3 linked regions of the Caenorhabditis elegans genome follow. The protein of the gene in region 1 purifies or fractionates together with the protein of each later gene. This does not show direct contact. Each region holds a gene or a part of one and is shown in the gene's direction. Other genes may lie near its edges.

Region 1 (4,993 bases):
TTAAAGTTCCGATAAACATTTACAGCTGTCACTCAATTAACCTATAACAATCCTGGATGGTGAGAGACTAGTATTTTAAAACATTTTTAATTGAATATATTATTCCAGGACGTTGGAATTGCGAGTACATCTAACACAAACGATGTGGAGTTTGACGATGGTATATATTATTGATTAACATTCACATGATAATGGTTTTCTTTCAGATTTCATCCGACATGCTCGTCACATGCCGATCAATAAATTAATTGAAGAGCTGGCAATGTTGGAACACGGTAAACCAGCTGTCAAGATTATCTTTTATTGATTTTATTTTAATTATTAAATTTAAATGTTTCAGACAATCATCCACTTTTACATACTGCTCGCCGGAACTTCGATAAAGATAGAAAAGTCCAGAAGGATCGAATTGAGTGCCATCGCGCGAGAGCCGAACTAAAAGGTATCTTTTGAATTGTTGAAAACTTTGAAAAGCTCAAAATACAAATTCTTTAGCAAAAAATGATTTCAATACAAGAAGTGCCGCAGATCAAGCAGAATGCACATTGCGGTTAACGGAATTGCTAGACGAATTCACGAAAAGGAGTGATGAAATGGACAAAACAGTTTTGCATGAATACGGAGTCATCGATATTCATAAACAACAGTCAGCTCCGCCTGTGTTCGAGTCCAACAAGAAAACTCTGCGAGGACGTGGAGGAGGACAGCTTGTTGAGCCAGTCACTTACTTCAATTCAAATCAGAATACTCGAATACCTGAATTCAAGCTGAATTTGTCTTTCGAAAATCCGAGAATTCGACAAGAGTTGGATATTATTATGAATCGGCCGAATTCGCGTCGAATCATTGTCTGTTCGGTATCGATTCAGAAACCGAAACTTGTGATCGATAACAAGTCATTCAAACACGGCGAAGATGTCTATGCGTATAACAGAATATTTGGAGAAATGCTCGCAAAACTCGAAATTGTCACCGATAAAATGATTAACTTGAAAGGGGCTAATGTAAGTTATCTGATGTTTCTACAATTAAAAAAATTGTTTTTTTTTCCAAATTAATTTTCGAAGATTAACGAAAAACGATTAAAAATCAATAAAACGCAATAAAGAGGGCTTGGCTTTCTTTTTAATTTAAATTATAATTTTTCTGATTGTTGTATGAAGCTACAAAATGTACTGTTTTTGTATTTGAATATTGTATTACAGGGTTGGGATTCTCGGCAAATATCAGCGACAGTGGAAGATTTAGAAGAAGGACGTGTGACAATCACTAAGCAAAGAGGAAAGGATAAAGGATTGTGATATTTCACTGTTTTACTCATTCGCTTTTTAAATAAGAACTATATGCCGATTTGCCGATATATTTTTGTTTATTAGGCCTCTCACATTCCTGTACAATGTTTCTACCAAATAAACTGCATTTTTATCTGAAAATTCGAATTTATTTTTGTCTACTTTTTACTCGTTGCATTCGAGATCAGCATATCTTCCGGTCTATTTATATTCAACGATTTTTATAAATTAGTACTCCTTCATGTTTAATTTCATTTTATCTGTAAGCTTTACTGTATTTTTTTAAAATCTTTCTTGCTTCTATCTGATTATACAATGTTCTTTACTCATTTTCAAGGTATTTTTATGCCTCACAATTTATGCACATTTCGGGCTTGGAGATTTATCCTCTATATTACATGCCTGTTTTTTTAAAGTGTATATAATGTTTAACAAATAATTTTTTATCAATGCTATTGTATATTCTCCAGCTAACCGTTGTTTCGAAAACATCACCTAGCATTTTAAAATTCACAAAATCTTGCTTCCTTATAATCAAGAAGATTTTTCAGATGCTCTGCGAAATCGAATGCCGCGCTTTGAGCACGGCACACACGAGGCTCATCCACGACTTTGAACCACGTGACGCATTGACTTATTTAGAAGGCAAAAACATTTTCACAGAAGATCATTCTGAACTTATCAGTAAAATGTCAACTCGCCTCGAGAGGATCGCCAATTTTCTTCGAATCTATCGACGTCAAGCTTCTGAACTTGGACCACTCATCGACTTTTTCAACTACAACAATCAAAGTCACCTTGCTGATTTCCTCGAAGACTACATCGATTTTGCGATAAATGAGCCAGATCTACTTCGTCCAGTAGTGATTGCTCCACAATTTTCCCGACAAATGCTCGATAGGAAACTATTGCTTGGGAATGTTCCAAAACAAATGACATGCTATATTCGAGAGTATCACGTGGATCGAGTGATCAAAAAGCTCGACGAGATGTGTGATTTAGGTGAGAAAACTGGAAGCTCTCGTGTTTATTATAATCTTGCTTAAACTTCAGACTCCTTTTTTCTGTTTCTACACGGCCGAGCTGGATCCGGAAAATCAGTAATTGCATCACAAGCTCTTTCGAAATCTGACCAACTTATTGGAATGTGAGTGGTATTATCTGAATCCTACGGATCTTCATTCTATTACAGAAATTATGATTCAATCGTTTGGCTCAAAGATAGTGGAACAGCTCCAAAATCTACATTCGATTTATTTACGGATATTTTGCTGATGCTAAAGTGAGTGAATAGAGTGCATGTAACATTCAGCATGATTTTGAAATTATGAAAATTTGACCTGGTTAGCTTTTAATTTGATATTTCGTGACGCTTGCATGTTTTGTGTGTTTGAAGACGAGCCCGTGTTGTGAGCGACACGGATGACTCGCATTCGATCACCGACTTCATTAACCGTGTTCTTTCAAGAAGCGAAGACGATCTTCTCAATTTCCCATCGGTGGAGCATGTCACGTCAGTTGTACTCAAAAGGATGGTAAGTTGCTTGCCGATTCTGGTACAATATCTTAAATTATTGGTTTTTAGATCTGCAACGCACTCATTGATCGTCCAAATACTTTATTCGTATTTGATGACGTAGTTCAAGAAGAAACAATTCGTTGGGCTCAGGAGCTACGTCTTCGATGTCTTGTAACTACTCGTGACGTGGAAATATCAAATGCTGCTTCTCAAACATGCGAATTCATTGAAGTGACATCATTGGAAATCGATGAATGTTATGATTTTCTAGAAGCTTATGGAATGCCGATGCCTGTTGGAGAAAAAGAAGAAGATGTGCTTAATAAAACAATCGAACTAAGCAGTGGAAATCCAGCAACGCTTATGATGTTTTTCAAGTCTTGTGAACCGAAAACATTTGAAAAGTGAGTGGGACATACCAATTTGAGACTTTTAAAATAATTTATTCTACAATAAAAGTTAATCAAAAAGTTTCATAGCTGATTGTCTTTAAATTTTACGAATTGAGGATCAAAATCAAGAATTAGGATCCTGGCACGAGAGAAAACTGTGTAGCTACCGTACCCGAGAGATTTTCTTGATATTTGCCATCGATTTAATTTTTTAAGAAAATTATCGTTTTACATAATTGAACAAGAGATACACGGTCTCGACCCGACGGAAATTTTTTAAATGAAAGCGAGTATGAGCCTGTTTTCATTATTTTTCGATTTTCTCTTGTTGTTTCTTTTTATTTAAAGCCTTTTATTTTGAAACAAGTCTAAAAATATTAAAAACTGAATAAAATATTTAAAAAAAATCAAGTAAAATAGAAAAACAGCAAGGCTGGAGACTACTGTACTTCTTAAATCCGCATACTCTTTTTATTTAATCATTTTCCGGAATGTCGAAACGAAATAATACATTTTTAGTCCAAAATCGCTAGGTATATTCTTAAAATTATCAAACATTTTGCATTCAGAATGGCACAGCTTAATAACAAATTGGAAAGTCGAGGATTAGTCGGTGTTGAATGTATCACCCCTTACTCGTACAAGTCACTCGCAATGGCTCTTCAAAGATGTGTTGAAGTTTTGTCAGATGAGGATCGAAGTGCTCTTGCTTTCGCAGTTGTGATGCCTCCTGGAGTTGATATACCCGTCAAGCTATGGTCATGTGTTATTCCAGTTGATATTTGTTCAAATGAAGAAGAACAATTGGATGATGAAGTTGCGGATCGGTTGAAAAGACTCAGCAAGTATGAGTCTTGAAATTTGAAGATTTAAATTAACACTTAAAATTTCAGACGTGGAGCTCTTCTCAGTGGAAAACGAATGCCCGTTTTGACATTCAAAATTGATCATATTATCCATATGTTCTTGAAACACGTCGTTGATGCACAAACTATCGCCGTATGCTGAAAATGTCTCAACTTTCAATTAAATTTTAAATTTTCAGAATGGAATCTCAATTCTCGAGCAGCGTCTTCTTGAAATAGGAAACAATAATGTATCAGTACCGGAGCGACATATACCATCACATTTCCAAAAATTCCGTCGTTCATCAGCCAGTGAGATGTATCCAAAAACTACAGAAGAAACTGTGATCCGTCCTGAAGACTTCCCAAAGTTCATGCAATTGCACCAGAAATTCTATGACTCCCTCAAAAATTTTGCATGCTGTTAAAACCTATCGTGTACAATATTGCCTGTATATTCCCCTCGAAATACGTTTATACTTTTTCGCACGAGTTTTCTCATTTTTTCATTTGTACTTGTTTTATTTCTCTCCAAAATTTCAGATCTATCCCAAATGTTCTTAAATTTAATGTTTTCTACAGATACTCAACACATCTTGTTTCATCTCATCCTTGCTTTTTTTTTTCAAATATATTCAGTTTCTTTTATAATTTTAATTAATCGAATTAATACATTCACGTAAAGAATTTCGTGGACTATTATTTTATCGCATCCAAATGATTTATTCCCTATTGTTCGAAACTTCCAAATTGATCATTTTTAAACACGCCTCATTAAATTGAAAGTCGTACTTTTAGTCTCGAACATGAAGTAAGTTATTTTCTGTGTTCTAAATTCAAAGTGCATTCCAAAAGGACATTTGATGAGTTTTCACGAAAACCGTAATTTTTACAATTTCCTTTCAGTTTTGAAGATGTTCGATTTCTTTCCTCTGTTGGCGTCAT
Region 2 (7,903 bases), 2.0 Mb from region 1:
TGACCTTAAAAACATTTTAATTTGAGTTTCTCGATTTTGCGGAACACTAGAACTAAATTTCCCGTCGCTGTCACCGAGATAAAGACTCATTTCGATGCGGTTCATCAATTTTTACCCATTTTCCGCCTTTTTTACATAAAGAAGGCATTTTAAACACGCTGAGGCCAGTGTAGATGAGATATCAAACATAAGAAAAAAAGTTACCACAGTGGGGACTCGAACCCAGGTGTTGTGGGTGGTAGTCATCTCTGTTATCCACCAGGCCAAAAGTTCAACTATTATTTTTTAAATTTTCAAGTTTCGACACATTTTTAGTCTGTAAACAATGTGTAAAAAACCGAAAAAAAAAACGTCGACCACAGTGGGGGTCGAACCCCGGTGTTGAGATTACCAATCACCAGTGTTATCCACTAAGCCAAAAATTCAATGTTTCAAATGTTTTTCAAAATGATTCAAAAATAGCTGATATGGTTGTCAAATTAACGGAAATTTTATTGGGAACTCGAATTTTTATATGAAAATTCCGGAAAATCACTAGTTTTTATTTTCACAAATTTTATTTTAACAAATCCCGCCGAAATTTAGTGTAACTATCGATTAATTTGGAAGATTGTTCTTATATAGTTCAGTTCCTTTTTCATTTCTCTCTCTTCTTTTTTCATCTTTTTCTTGTTTCTTCTGTGCGTCTCAAACTAACTGTCACATCACATTTACAATCGACGTGTAGTTAGTTCTGTCTCATTAATACTTCTAGTTTTTTCAACTATTTTCACTTTCTATTCTCACTCTGTAAAATCGATTCGTTTTTGCTGAAAATTGTTTTTTTTTAATTTTGAAAATTTCAAAGTAAAAAATTAAAAAAAAACCAAATTTCAGTCCGCTACGGTTTGAACTAAATGTTGTTAATAAAAATCTCTGACATACCAAAAAAAAATTGGAAAAAAGTTTTGACCCCAGCGGGGGTTCGAACCCCGGTGTTGTGAGTCCCACCCATCCGTGTTAACCACAAGGCCAAAAATTTAATTTTTTTGAAAAAATCGATATGGGTCTCAAATTGACGGAAATTTCGTGGAAAACCCGAATTTTTATGTAAATATTTCTGAAAATCGATATTTTTCGGGAAATGAACTAAAATCTCGATTTTTTTTTGTGAATTTTCATTTTCAAAGTCAAAGCGTCTACCATGTCAATTTTCAAAGCATAAACAATGCAAACAAAACTCGACAAAAATTTTGACCCCATCGGGGATTCGAGCCCCGGCCTTGTGAGTCCCAGCCAACTCTGTTAGCCACTAGGCCAAAAACTCGAAATTGTTTTTTTCCAATTTTGCAAAAACGAAAAATGATAGATTTTTATTGATTTTTAGAGATTTTTCAAGAAATTCCTCTGATTTTCTAATCAAAAATCATAAATGTCACATGACACGTTCTCCTGTTCCCGTTCTCAGCTGACAATTCATTTTCCCTACCATTTTTTTTTCGGCCGATTCTGTGTATCTCTGCGTTTCTGTCTATTTCTTCATTTTCTTATTCCTTTATCAAGTTTTTTGTTTCGGTTTTTATCTTTTTTTTTTGTTTCGGCTGTGTGTTGAGGAGGCGATGCATTACCCTCGAAAATGTAAAAGACTACGCCTTTTTTGGAAATTTTTGTTGGGGTTTTTAGGGAAAAATCACTTTAAAAAATTTTTTTCATAGATTGAAAACCAAACTTAAAATCGAAATCTTCAAAAATGAGCAAAAGATCGAAAAGCAAAAAATTGAAATTTTTTTCAAAATTTTTTTTTTCAAATTTTTTCAAAAAATAATTATTTCAAAATTTTCTCAAATTTAGATTTTCTTATGTACTTTTTCACAATTTACCCATTTCCCCTCTAAAAAATCTATAAAAATATCGATTTTTGCAGATGTTTGGGCCGGAAGGCTCCGGGTCACTCAGCTCCTCATCAAGTACACTACAATTCAATTCCACGTCATCCACGATGACGTCATCATCGATAAATGCCACGTCATCACGGGAACCATTAATACACATTCCTAATAAACCATCATTATCAATTGATCCATTGGCGCGGGCGGATAGATCAGTACATTTGTCACCGTCTTTTTTTCAACCAGGTGAGAGATGTTTTTTTATTTAATACCATCACTGAAAATATGTTTTCCTGATAGAATAAATTTTGTTGTGTTTGCCATAGAAAAAATTAAGTGAAAATCTTAATTTTTCGCTGAGTTATCGAATTTCGAAAAATTACAAAAAATTTTCAATAAAAATGTGTCCCACCACGAAAACTATGACTTTCTAGCCCGAAATTTAAAAATAATCAGATTTAAAATTTCACGAGCTTTCAGAAAAGTATAATCATGGCTATGTTTCGAAAATTTCGAAATTTCCCCGGGAGTACTGTAGTTTTCGTGGTGGGACCTAAAATTGACGGAGCCTAGGCATGATGGGTGTCATTTGAAAGTTCTCAGTGTGCTAAGTTCAAATTTAACAGTTTTGAAGTTTCAAGTTCAAGCTGTGCCTTAAAAGTTTTGATTTTTTGAAATTTTTCGAAATTTTTCGAAAATCGATAACTCTGCGAGTTTTTAAGATATTTGAACTATTCCAATTTCAAAATGTGCAGAAAACGTTGAATTTTTTTGCAAAAATATAACCAAAAATCTTCAAATTTTCAGGCCTCTCCTCAATTTCATCTGAAAACGACGATGCTGAACAGCGGATACATGAAGCAACAAGAAGCTTTAATCAATTCGGACATCAATTTTACGAATCAATTCGGGAACTTTCCGAGAGCACAAGTGCCTACGAAAGGCTGAAGGCCAACGCGTTGAGGAGGAAGCTAGAAAATGTTCGTTTTTTTTTGAGATACAGCTATCTTGGTTATATTATGTTAGGCCTATGCACCTTTAAACTTTGATTTTCGTGGCGGGACCCGGAAATTAAATTTTTTTAAGACTCCCTCTCAAAACCTAGTCATGATTATACTTAAATGAAAGCTCTCACCCAGCTGAATTTGATTTTCATATTTTCAAGGTCCCACAACGAAAAACCACCAAAATTTCAAAGCTACAGTAGTCACATGTCCTTTAACCCTCTTATCTCTCAGTCTCTTTGTCACTCTCAATTTTCCCGCCTTTTTGGGTGTGGTTACCGTCTTTTCTTGATGTCGGCGGCGGCGACCGTCTTGTTTCGCAAGAAAAAGAAAAATGAGAGTGAGAGAGTGAGAGAGTACGCAGAGAAAGAGAGTAGGGAGAACATTGGGCGTTGGCGCCTCTCTTTCTATCTACCGAAACACATACATAAAGTGAGAGAGAGAGAGAGAGTGATTGATAAGATTGAGAGAGCGCTGAGAAAATAGAGAAAATCTAGACCGGATTGTTCATCTTCCTACGAAAGACTAATTAATCGATATTAGAATGGAACAGATTTCACAAAAAAAACTTTTATTAACCGCAAAATTTCGAAAAAAGACCAAGAAATAGATAAACATAAGCCTAAGCCTAAGCCTAAGCCTAAGGCTGAGGTTAAGCCTAATCCTAGGCTAAAGCGTATGCATAAGCCAAAGCCTAAGTGTAAGCTTAAGCAGGAGCTTAAGTCTCAGCCTAAGTCTAAACCGAAGCCTAAGCCTAAGCCGAAGCCTAAGCCTAAGCCGAAGTTGACTCCAAAGCCTAAGCCTAAGCCTGAGCTCAAGCCTAAGCATAAAAATCAGATTTAAATATGGAAAAATTGAAAAATCCTTTAAAAATGTGTTTTTTTTGCAGACATTTGGAAATGATAGCGGAGCAGCAACAAGTTCAAGTTCTTCATCGGTTTTCGAAAGACAATCGGACTTTTCTGCATTTGCACCATATAAAAATTCACATTTTGACTCAACTCAGAGCCTTTTCCAACCGACAACTTCATTTAATGACCGTCTGGAACAGATCAAAAGTGATTTTATTGCAGAGCATCAGAGTGGGTTTTATTTTTGATTGAAAAATCTGAATTCAGCGTTTTGAGAGCTTTAATTTAAGTATAATCATGCCAAGGTTTGAAAATTTTGAAAATTTCTTGGGTCTTGCCACGAAAAAGATCTGGGGTACTGTAGGTACAGTTTCCAGGCTGCGAAAAGTATTTTTGTCTGAAAGAACAATTTCTGTTGTGTTTGTCAAACAAAAAATCTTATGTAAATCTCAATTTTTCGCTGAGTTATCGATTTTCGAAAATTGTCGAAAATTTGCCCACAATTTTGGGTGCCACCACGAAAACTATCAGTATTTCTCACAAGTTTTCAAACTATTCGAATTGTAAATTTTACGTGCTTTCAGAAAAATATATATAATCATGACTAGGTTTGGAAAATTTTGGGTCCCACCACGAAAATTCCCCGGGAGTACTGTAGTTTTCGTGGTTGGACCTAAAATTGACGCAGCCTAGGCATGATGGGTGTCATTTGAAAGCTCTCAACGTGCTGAGTTCGAATTTAATTGTTTTGAAGTTTTAAGTTCAATCTCTGCGTTAAAATTTAAAGGTTTTCGATTTTAAATTTTTCGAAATTTTTCGAAAATCGATAACTCTGCCAGTTTTCAAGATATCGGAACCATTCCCATTTCAAAATGTGCAGAAGAAATCATATTCTTCTGCAAAAATTAAAAACTCAACTAAATTTATCACCTAAAAAAAAGAAAACGCCTAAAGAAAATTTCTTATCAGGGACACCCCTGCAAAACACCCTCCGAATTTGTAAAAATTGTCATATATTTTTCAGAGTCAATGTCGTCATTTTCCGGATTCAACACACCGACGACAGCTCTCGGAGCAGCTTTTCAGGGCATGCAAGTCAAGAAAAGTTTGTGATTTTTTTTCAATTTTCAATTTTTTAAACTTTCTAACTAATTTTTTTTTGAAAATTATAGAAAAAATTGAATTTGTCGTGCAAAGAGCTTTTGAATAACACCCATCATGACTAGGTTCCAGTGAGTTTAAATTTTAAAGCACCTATGTGCCTTTAAATTTTGATTTTCGTGGCGGGACCCGGAAGTGCAGGCTTAGAGGTCACTGACAAATATTTCATCTGTTCATTTAAAATTTTATTAGCATTCACGATGCCTAAAACTTTATATTGATCTTCAATTTTCAACTTGTTGGGTCCCGGCACGAAAATCTAAATTTAAAGGCGCATAGGGTTTGAAAATTTCAAACTTAACCTAACCTAGCCAAGATGGGTGTTATTTTGAAGCTCTCAGTGTGCTGAATTCATATTTTTAGTTTAAAGTGTATTGTATGACAAGAAATGAGAGATACTGTAGTTTTTGTGGTGGGACCCGGAAATTTATTGAAAAGTTCAAAATCGTCAGAACCTAGTCATGATTATACTTAAATGAAAGCTCTTGGCTAGCTTGATTCAAATTTTCAAAGTAAAAATCATTTTCAGGTGCGTTCGCTCCAGTCCTGCTTCGAGAAAATCTGGATACCCGGCGCCCCGGGGGCCATTTGATTTCCGACATTCTGAATCGAGACCCGCTTCCACAATCTCGAAATCTTAACCTGAATATGGCTAGAAATGTCCCAATTCGGCTGATTCATTCGACTTCAAATTTCGATATCGCTTCCTCGAGCTCCGGAGATTCAGGCCATCAGGATCATGAGAGTATTGTTGTGGAGGATGCTGACATGGATAGTCCGACAAGTCCGTGTGTCAAAAGATCCGCAATGAATTTTGATTTAAGAGGTAAGGTTTTGAAATTGCGGAAAATTTTTTTTTTAATTCTGGAAAAAAAATTTTCCACAAAATTTTTTTTCAAAATTTTTTCTTCAAAATTAAAAAAAGTCGTCAAACTTCACAATTTAACTATTCTCGGCTCGTCAAGATCCTTCAAATGACACCGATCTTGCCTTGGCCCCGCCCACTTTGGGTCTCACCGCGAGAACCAGAATTTAAAGGCGCATAGGGTTAAAAATTTAAAAATATGCCGAACCTAGGCATGATGGGTGTTATTTTGAAGCTCTTGATGAGTTGAGAGCGATAAAAACAAAATTAAGGTAAAAAATATTTTTTTAGTTCAAAAATAATTTTTCGAAAAATAACCTTTTTTCGCGTTCATCACATCAAGAGCTTTCGAATGACCCCCATGATGTCTAGGCTCTGCCCATTTTGGGTCCCACCACGAAAACTACAGTACTCCTGGGGAATTTTCGTGGTGGGACCCAACATGGGGAGAACCTAGCATGATGGGGGTCACTTGAAAGGTCTTAACAAGCTGACTACAATAAAATATCCAAAACTTGAAAACAAGATAATTATAATACCAATTTTGTGCTGAAAAAAATTTTCTCCAAAATATTTTTTTTCAAAATATTTTTTTGAAAAATCAAAACTTCAAATGTTTTTTAATTTTTAGACGAACCTCTCACAGTGAACGTAGAAAGTGTGTCATCAACATCAGACCTTCCCAGCTCAGTATCCAGCTCTGTGAACTCCTTCGTCTACCAAAACTTTGACCCCTTGGAGTTTAAGCGAAAAATAGACGAACTGACGGCTTCAGCGTGTCTAGCTGTAATGCCAGACGCAAATGGTCAAGTCGATCCGATGGCCATCAAAACTCAGTTGGATGCTATCAAAAAACAAATGGAAGAGCATCAAACCCACATGGCAGAAGCCTCGCAAAGACTCCACGTGGACTCTTCCCTCGAGGATTCAAATTGCGAGCCGAGCCCGAGCTCATCATATGATGCTTCTGAACCATCTGTCAAGAGGCTTCACCATTGCACACATCCGAATTGCGGGAAAGTCTACACGAAAAGCTCACATTTGAAGGCTCATTTTAGAACTCATACAGGTAATACTTTGTTAATTGTACTGAACAAAATATTTTCTAGATTGAAAAAGCAATCATTACACCCAGAAAAAACCAAAAACATGCAGAAAGAATCGAACTTGGGACCTTCTGGGTCTCAGTCATCTCTCTTACCTATTGCGCCACCAGCGCCGTCGCGCCCAGCAACTGGCGCGGCACGCAGTGCGCGCGTGGCGCAGTCGGTAAGATGTCAGACTATGACCCAGAAGGTCACAGGTTCGATTCTTTGTCGAAGGATATAGGTTTTTCTGGATGAAAAGTTTGAAAATTTCAGTTTTAAATCTTGATAACTTCTCTTTAAAGTTGTTTTTAGAAATTTTTTGATGAAAAAAATCATTTTTCAGGTGAAAAACCATACGAATGCAGTTGGGACGGGTGTGATTGGCGATTTGCTAGATCTGACGAGCTAACAAGGCACTATAGGAAACATACAGGTAATTTTTGAGTGAATTAAAGGCGCATACACCTAAAAATTTTCAAATTTTCCCAAACCTAGTCATGATTATACTTAAATGAAAGCTCTCGTCGAGCTCTATTTAAATTATGCACTGCAATGCTAAGAAAAACAAAAATAATTGTTTTTTTCAGGAGACCGCCCATTCAAGTGCTCTCAATGTTCACGTGCCTTCTCCCGAAGTGATCATCTCTCACTCCATATGAAACGCCACTTCTAATCAAAAAAAACATGGTGCAACAGATTAACTAATTACGGGTTCCCAAAATGTATTTCTCAACTTTTTATCCGGTCATTACATTTTTTTTGGAAAATTTTTGAAAAAAGTTTTTTTTTTCAAAAATTTTCAAACTTCCCGCCAGTCACGTCTCAACATCGTGACGTCATTTTTACAGTTTTTTGAATGTTTTCTTGCTCAAAAAATGCTTGGTATCATCACTAAATACGGTCATATTAATTTTTGTCACATTTCACTTTCCCCCCCCCCCCCCACGTGGAAATCAATAAATACATATCGATTTTTTTTTCTGTGTTTTTTTTTTTGATTTTTCAGAGATTAGTAATTTGAAAAAAAACCAAATTGGAAAGGTTTTGAGCCTTTCAAAATTATTCA
Region 3 (7,267 bases), 4.3 Mb from region 1:
ACACAGCAGAAAGCGAAGATATCAGCAAACAAATCAGAACTTCAGGAACTTCATAATATTCATGTAAGATTTATTTTTTTAAACACAAGTTTAAAACTGAAAATAATTTCAGAACCACATTCGAATGATGACTTTGCGAGATTCATATGAAAATTCGGGTACACGAAAAGCTTCAGAACTTCAATTTTTCGAGAAATACCCAGAAAGTAACATTCTGAAGATTAGTGTGAACATGGTGTCTAAGCCATGGACAGTGCTTGTACCTAGATACAATCCCCCCTTCTATTGTAAGCCTGCGGAAGATTTTCCATCAGATGTGCAAAAGTATGTTGATATTGCCACGGAGCAAAATGTTGGAGAACTAAAACGAATTTGGAGAAGCCGTCAGGCAAATGATGTTACTAGTAGTAATGATAAATGTTGGAAGCTCTCAGCTGCCGGCTTCCCATTGAATCCGAATGGTCGAACTGGAATGGCTGGAAGAGGAAATCATCCGAGATTTGGTGCTAATCGACGTTGTTATTATGTCGTTTTGAGTGGTGGAGTTGAAGCGAAATGTCAAGTTCTAGTTGATAGTCAGAAGAATATTCCAAATGAATGGCATCTGGAGAACTCGTCGAAAGATGAACATCTGACATCTATTTTGAAGATGATTGGAATTTCAGATTCTGACGCTCATGTAAGTAACCAAAAAGATTACTTTTAAAAATTTGTGATGTATTTTCAGATGTTTTCAATGCGACGTTTGGATAGCTCAATTATCACTGCGGACAAAAGAATACCATCCAATGACACGAGTCCTGCTCATTTGGCTTCAGAAGTTGCAGAAAATGAAAACGATACAGACAACGCGTGGACGGAGCATGATGTTTGGGCTATTTCTCTCCGAGAACGACGTATAATAACCACAATTATCGGTTATTCGTGGCTTCCTACGAGTGCAATTCGTGGAACAGTGCTTCCATGGCAAGCAGATCTTGTTTTCCGAGCAAAGACAATATACGGGTTATAATGCTACAACTTTCATAAATTATGAATTCACTTAAATTGTTATTCGATGTTTGTTTTTTAAAGCTGATAGCTAAGAGATAATTTAATAAAGCTTGGAAGAATAAAAATAAAGCACTCACCAAAACACATATAATGAGAGGCCTAACAAAAAATGTAGGGGTACTGTAGCAGTTTTGAAACAAATTTTTCTAAATATTGTAGAGCGATTGTTGGTTAGGTTTGCGGAGTGTTGTGCAGTAAAACTGTAAGAACTGTCGCGAATGCGGAGAACCAAGAATACTTCTCCTTGTCGCCACTTTATTACTTAATATTATTTCCTTTAATTTAACACAATTATTATGTATATTCATTAATTAATTATCGTCATCTTCCTTGTTTTTCCCGTTATTTTTGGTCCGTTTAGGTGTGACACGGAGATAAAAGATACCTTAGCAAAATAAGTTCTTTTCGTGAAAAAACAAATCTTCGTATTTATTAAACAACTTTGTTTCTGTTAACAAATAAATAAATCCTTGCTTTCGATTTTACGATTTTGTGGCTACGGTACACAATGTTCACTCCGCAAGCACCGAAACTGACGACAGTTTTTCTATCAGTTATTTTTTTCATTCAACCTCGAACTTTTTTCGCGTTTATTCATTTCTCGCGTGAACTTTTTGTCTTATTTTATTTTTAAGCTTGGCTTCACGTGGCACCGCGCTTTTAACACATCCGTGCGGCGTTTTGAATTGAACTTTAAATTGGAAATTCCCAAAAACCCACGATTTTTATGGATTTCGAATGGAAAATGCGGCGATACAGGGTAAGATTTCCCAAAATTGTAATTTTAAATCTTAAGGCCATTAAGAAAACAAGTAAAAACCGAATTTATTTTACCATTTGGAAGAATAAAAAACAAAATTCATATCATTTTCCCATTCACTTTCACCTGTTCGTATCACTTCCAACAAAGGAAAACTGAACTATTCTTGTTTTCAATTTTCCCATTTTCCCATATTCCCCACAGCAGCCCTTTCCGTGCATTTTTGCGTCGCCGTGTTGGCACTAAAGTGACACGGTTGACCTCAATTTGCCCCTTCTTTTCTTTTCTTCCCTTGTCTTCTGCCTCTCTATATTTACCCAACAGACTTTAACATCTCGACACTTAACTTGTATATTCGCCTAATTTATTACAGATCGATTCTATGAAGTATGAACAACGAATGAATGCCGGAGGTATGATAAAATTCGATTTATCAACAATTTTTATCAATCACTATTCATTTTCAGCTTCTGGTTTCGATATGAGTGACTGGAATAATCCTTACAATGCTTCACCTCCGTCTTCTAGAGGAGGCGATGATGACGCTTCATCCGTTAACCATTCAAGGTCAGTGAATACAAGAATTTCACACGCCGATCGATATCTTTTCATCGCTTTTTTTTCAGGCCTCGACGCAGTCGGCTGGACAACGATATTCCACAACCAAGAAGACCCATTCTTATTCAACCAGCTCGCCCAGTATCTCAAAAGAGTAACCGGCAGGGTACTGGAATGAGTAATGGTTCAAGAGGCCTCAACTCAACTTTCAATGGATATGACCGTACTTATTCAAGGTTTAAAACAAGGGAGTTTCTTCTTCTAATTATGGAAATTTGCAGATATCACCAAAACTCTTCACGTGGCCCAAGCGAAGGTTTCTCTGGTGCTCCTTCAGCTCGAAATGCATCTGGATATGCGAGTGATTACGCGAATAGTCGTGCTGGTGTGGGATTGCTGCCGAACAACCACCGTGAGCCTGTGAGACCACGATCAACTGCTGCTGAAAGATATGCGAACGCATCTTCAATGAGAAATGGTTTTGTATATGATAGTGGAGAGTCTGATAAGACTTCAGAAGAGCTGGAAGAAGACGAAGAAGAGGAAGAAGTACGAAATTTTTATATGGAAGGACGAGCACAAGGCTCCAGGAGTGTAACAAATACCCTTGCCTCTGAAGTTTATAATAGCGAAAGTGAAAGCTATTACTACGGAGTTGTGAAACTTGGCTCTGCTATTGTTGATCATGTGTTCCGAACGATGCCTCCTCCGGAAAAATACTATAAGATGCCGCCAATCGACCGTGTCGCTTATGTATTCTACTGTGCCGTTAATAACAAACCTTACAACAATATTGATGAGTTTCACGTAATTTTTAATCGTGAATTCTACTCCTACCGCGGGTATGGTGATTCTAAAGATCTGGCACTTTTTAAGGTAAGATTACTGACAAAATTGAATTGCTTCATATTTTAAATTACAGGTTTGCAAGCGGATGCAAGAAGAATTCTCCCTGAAGCAACTGGAAGCCGACAGATTGGCGTACGAAAAAGCACGACAAGAAGCTGCAGAGAGCGAGAAACTGGATTTCAATCAGTGAGTATGGAACCAACGGTACAATGAGCAAAAATATTATTATAGGCATAAAATCGAGGAACGCGAAGAGCCAAAACTTAACATCTCGCAACCCGAAGAAGTGTTGAGCAACGGACCACTTCATTATCACTCCTGCCTTCAGTTTGCTACCATTGGTGTTGGAGGAAAATTGGTGATCATTAAACCAGCGGGAACCATCGATAGTATCACTGGACATGTTCTAAGTACATCCAGCGTTCATGTGGATGATCTGAAAACATTTCTTCATTTCGATGAACAATCTGGAAAAGTGATCGAATCAGTTCAGAACTTTAAAGGACCACTGATTGCTGGACAAACTCCAACTCATTCCGTTCGTCTCTACATCCAACGACAAATCGACGCTCTTCGCCAGATCAGAAATGCTGGTGACGTAAAGAAAAGTGAGGTGGTGGATGCTCTTCTCGTCTGGCAATTGCTCGAAATCATGGTTCAGCAACATGGAGTAAGAATTGTTTTAATTTGAGAACTTAGTAGGAATTTAACATTTTAAGAGAGTCACCGGACCCGATGTAGCAACACTGCTGACAAATGCCTCGGAAGAACTTGGTGAAAAAACTGGAATTTCAAGCAATGGGACATCCGAGTCTGGTTCGAAGTTCGAAGCAAAGGAGCGGTTCAATAAGTATCTTCTTGGTGGTCACATTAATGTAATTTTGTCTAATCTTGTTAATTAAATAATTATAATTTTTCAGGAAGCTGTTGAAAGTGCTATAACCGATGGACTCTATGCCGACGCAATGACATTGATCCGTAGACTGCATCCAAATGACGCTAAGAAAATTGAGGAAATCGAGGCACGATTTATGAATCTTCGTTCCATTGACGATCCATTCGCAACACTGGTTGCAGTTTCAAGTGATCAACCACCTCCGATTCTGACGAATTCGGCGTTCGATGATGACAACAATTGGAAACGACATGCGGCCATTGTTCTTGCGAATCTAAACTCGCAGACCGCTATGCAAACGGTACGGCAGGAGAAAAGCAAAACTAAAACTGTAAAATTTTTTTCAGATCTATCATCTCGGCTTGCTCCTAGCAAAAAGAGAACGAAACTGTGCTGCTGATTTCTGTCTCCTTGTTGTATGCATTCTGGCTGGTTATGATCCATTTATTCCAGTGGCTCACGACGGAGATGAAACTTCGAGAAAGCACATCGGCCTTGTGCATAGTGGATCTAACTTGTTGAATCGAGTTGATGGACTATCAGGAACCGCTGGGTAAGATTACTTAACACAATATGCATAACATAAAACATGCTTTTCAGATTCTCATTCACTGATCTTCATGCTACTGATATTTTTGATTATGCTCTCCGACTGGGAAATAACAATGTCGATTCACCACTAGCAAAATCGATTGATTATCAGTTAGCTCGTATTGAATACGCAAAGAAGCTGTCGTCTTTTGGTGGATTTGCTACGGATGCGTTCAGATATTGTACAGAAGTAGCAAGATCGTTGTGGATGTATGTCGCAGCTTTCGATAAAAATGCAATGTTTGATCTTTGCGATCTGGCTGAGAGTCTTCAATACATGGCTGCCGCAACTCCTGATGAAAGTGGTTGGATTACAACTATGAGAGGAATGCTAGGTGCAGCTCCAGTTCAAGAATCTCAACAACATGTTCCACAGCCACAACCAGTGGAAAACAAATCTATTTCGTCTGAAGCTAAAAAATGGCATGATGAGCATCAAGCGCCGCTGGAGATTGGATCACGTAACGATCAACAACATAACGATAAAACTGTCGAGAAACCAATTGCACCCGGACGTGCTTCTTTGCCTCCACCTACCCTGGTTACTGAATCGTCATCTGAATCGACATTTACAGATAAATCCGATTCTTCGGTTACTGTCGCTGCGTCAGCATCAAGAACTTCAACGTTGACCTCATCCACTTTACCACCACCACCATCCCTTCCAAAAACTATCGAAAAACCAATCTCAACACCACCACCAATTTCTAAAAATGTTGTTCCTGAGATGACGCCTCCAGCGATTGTGAAGCCACCGATGCCAACGTTATCGATGCCTATTCCACCTGTCAGTACTCCAATCATGGTATCACCTCAACCTATTCCTATTCCGAAACCTGTTGACGCCAGCATTGCAAAAAGTCCTCGTTCGGAACTGGATGATTTATGGGACACTTCACCGCCAAGCAATCAAACTTCATATCCACCTGCACCGCGAAATATTCAACCATCTTATTCGCCTGCACCTAACTTTGCAAACCCAACAGCTCCAAGTGTACCAACACCACCACCAGCCGTTTCTTCTGCTCCGGTTCTTCAACAAGCAACACTAGGACAAGCATCTATTCCAAATGCTAAAACTGTGAGTTTTCTGTGAAACCTTCAGAATGACAAGTAATTATTTTTAATTATTAAAGACTGCGCCGCCTGTCCCACAGAAACAACCTGAACTTGCATTGAATGAACGAAAAGCATCTAAAGGATGGTTCGGATCGATTAAGGAAAAAGTCATCAAATCGATTCCATCAGCAAACCAAATGATCCTGCCTGACGATTCAAAGCCAAGTGTATGTTAATTTGAAAGCCGATTTTTTGAATATCAAATATTCATTTGTTCAGATCGTTTGGGATCCTGTTCAGAAAAGATATGTTGGTGCTGGAGTAGAAGAAGAGGTCGTAGCTGCTCCACCGCCAGTCATGTCAGCTCCTCATTTGATGGGTGGAGGTCCTGATTCTAACAAATCGAGCACGAATAGTCTGCGAAGTGCTAGAAGTGGAGTTGGATCACGATATCTTCAATCGGGAATGGCCACTAGCCAAGCACCAGCTATGGACACTGGAATGCCACCGATGATGCCTCCAACCATGCCAATGTCATTCAGCTTTATGCCTGCACCCACTGAAGGTATAATTAATTGAGAATTAGTTTTTTCTTCAATTAATTTCATTTTCAGATGATTCCTCCGAATATGTTGATCCATTCAGCGGTGAACCAACGGCTCCTTCCGAATCATTATCCAAACAGAATAACGATTAATATGCTTCAATTCTTCCAAATTATATGTGTTGTCGTCCCCATCGCCTTTTGTATCCCCCTCCCACCCACTATCATTCTTTCAAATAACCATTTCCTGTTATCTGGTCAGGCCCGTTTCCTCTAAAAACTTCTGTGATTATTCCATAGTATCTTCCTTCTTTTTTGTTGTGCAACTATATATGTTACGGTTTTATCTGAAAAATAAGTAGGCTAGTTTTTCTTTGTTCTGACGAGAAAATATGTGCTCTGAATTGATTCTCTGGTAAATAAATATATACTGAAATGAATAAATATAATGTACCGTGAAATCACTATTTGAATTTTACATTTGAAATCGAATTAAAAACAAAACAAAAAACTAATCGAATACCATTATTTCGCAAATTCGAAAATGTATCAACTGGACGTGAGTTTTCTCTTAATATTTCTGATTGATGTTCGAATATTTAAAGTCTTGGTACTCAGTGCTCTTCGAGCTTCTTCTCGTCGGTTTTTCTCTCTACAACTCGCTCAGAATGACTACTTGGTGGGATACCGTAGCCAGTAGGTCACAATTATTTTCAGGCAGTTTCCAGAAAAAAGATTTTCAGAAGGAGCATCTATCGCAGTGAATGGAGCAGCGAAACATTCACCTTCGGTCGCTGATCACTACGGTATTCGTACTGATAAAAATAGTGTTAGAAGCTATAGAAAGAGTAGCGTCGTGAGTTTTATTGAGACTAATTGAATAAATGTGTATATTTCCAAAATTTCAGAGATCACCAATTACGTTCGAAATGGGAGATGGGATTGAAGTAGCTCACTG

The links.
Region 2: the proteins of ced-4 (region 1) and klf-1 fractionate together in Caenorhabditis elegans (co-fractionation; one large-scale study listed by BioGRID). This does not show direct contact.
Region 3: the proteins of ced-4 (region 1) and sec-16A.1 fractionate together in Caenorhabditis elegans (co-fractionation; one large-scale study listed by BioGRID). This does not show direct contact.

The regions. Positions count from the first base shown.
Region 1 is NC_003281.10:4,850,482-4,855,474, forward strand, and holds ced-4 (Cell death protein 4), read left to right. Parts: upstream 1-1,843; coding exon 1,844-2,294; intron 2,295-2,345; coding exon 2,346-2,439; intron 2,440-2,484; coding exon 2,485-2,572; coding exon of another isoform or gene 2,573-2,574; intron 2,575-2,692; coding exon 2,693-2,827; intron 2,828-2,877; coding exon 2,878-3,215; intron 3,216-3,772; coding exon 3,773-4,048; intron 4,049-4,096; coding exon 4,097-4,202; intron 4,203-4,248; coding exon 4,249-4,476; downstream 4,477-4,993. Other genes in the region: F26A1.1 (Non-structural maintenance of chromosomes element 4), read left to right, coding at 57-59, 109-160, 207-275, 341-442, 496-1,004, 1,206-1,301; C35D10.8 (PH domain-containing protein), read left to right, coding at 4,855-4,859, 4,955-4,993. UniProt on the Caenorhabditis elegans protein: Component of the egl-1, ced-9, ced-4 and ced-3 apoptotic signaling cascade required for the initiation of programmed cell death in cells fated to die during embryonic and postembryonic development.
Region 2 is NC_003281.10:2,872,915-2,880,817, forward strand, and holds klf-1 (Kruppel-like factor 1), read left to right. Parts: upstream 1-1,903; 5' UTR 1,904-1,978; coding exon 1,979-2,114; intron 2,115-2,675; coding exon 2,676-2,848; intron 2,849-3,761; coding exon 3,762-3,954; intron 3,955-4,747; coding exon 4,748-4,828; intron 4,829-5,413; coding exon 5,414-5,710; intron 5,711-6,380; coding exon 6,381-6,818; intron 6,819-7,000; exon of another isoform or gene 7,001-7,074; intron 7,075-7,180; coding exon 7,181-7,270; intron 7,271-7,417; exon of another isoform or gene 7,418-7,424; coding exon 7,425-7,510; 3' UTR 7,511-7,762; downstream 7,763-7,903. UniProt on the Caenorhabditis elegans protein: Transcription factor which modulates genes involved in lipid metabolism and the phase I detoxification pathway, including cytochrome P450 oxidases.
Region 3 is NC_003281.10:9,124,041-9,131,307, forward strand, and holds sec-16A.1 (Protein transport protein sec-16A.1), read left to right. Parts: upstream 1-1,798; coding exon 1,799-1,813; intron 1,814-2,186; coding exon 2,187-2,226; intron 2,227-2,280; coding exon 2,281-2,380; intron 2,381-2,439; coding exon 2,440-2,607; intron 2,608-2,652; coding exon 2,653-3,247; intron 3,248-3,293; coding exon 3,294-3,406; intron 3,407-3,451; coding exon 3,452-3,890; intron 3,891-3,939; coding exon 3,940-4,095; intron 4,096-4,140; coding exon 4,141-4,416; intron 4,417-4,462; coding exon 4,463-4,668; intron 4,669-4,715; coding exon 4,716-5,787; intron 5,788-5,842; coding exon 5,843-5,992; intron 5,993-6,044; coding exon 6,045-6,330; intron 6,331-6,379; coding exon 6,380-6,462; 3' UTR 6,463-6,767; downstream 6,768-7,267. Other genes in the region: Protein ced-11, read left to right, coding at 1-63, 113-679, 728-1,012; ZK512.10 (DUF4752 family protein), read left to right, coding at 6,854-6,868, 6,915-7,005, 7,053-7,165, 7,218-7,267. UniProt on the Caenorhabditis elegans protein: Plays a role in the organization of the endoplasmic reticulum exit sites (ERES), also known as transitional endoplasmic reticulum (tER).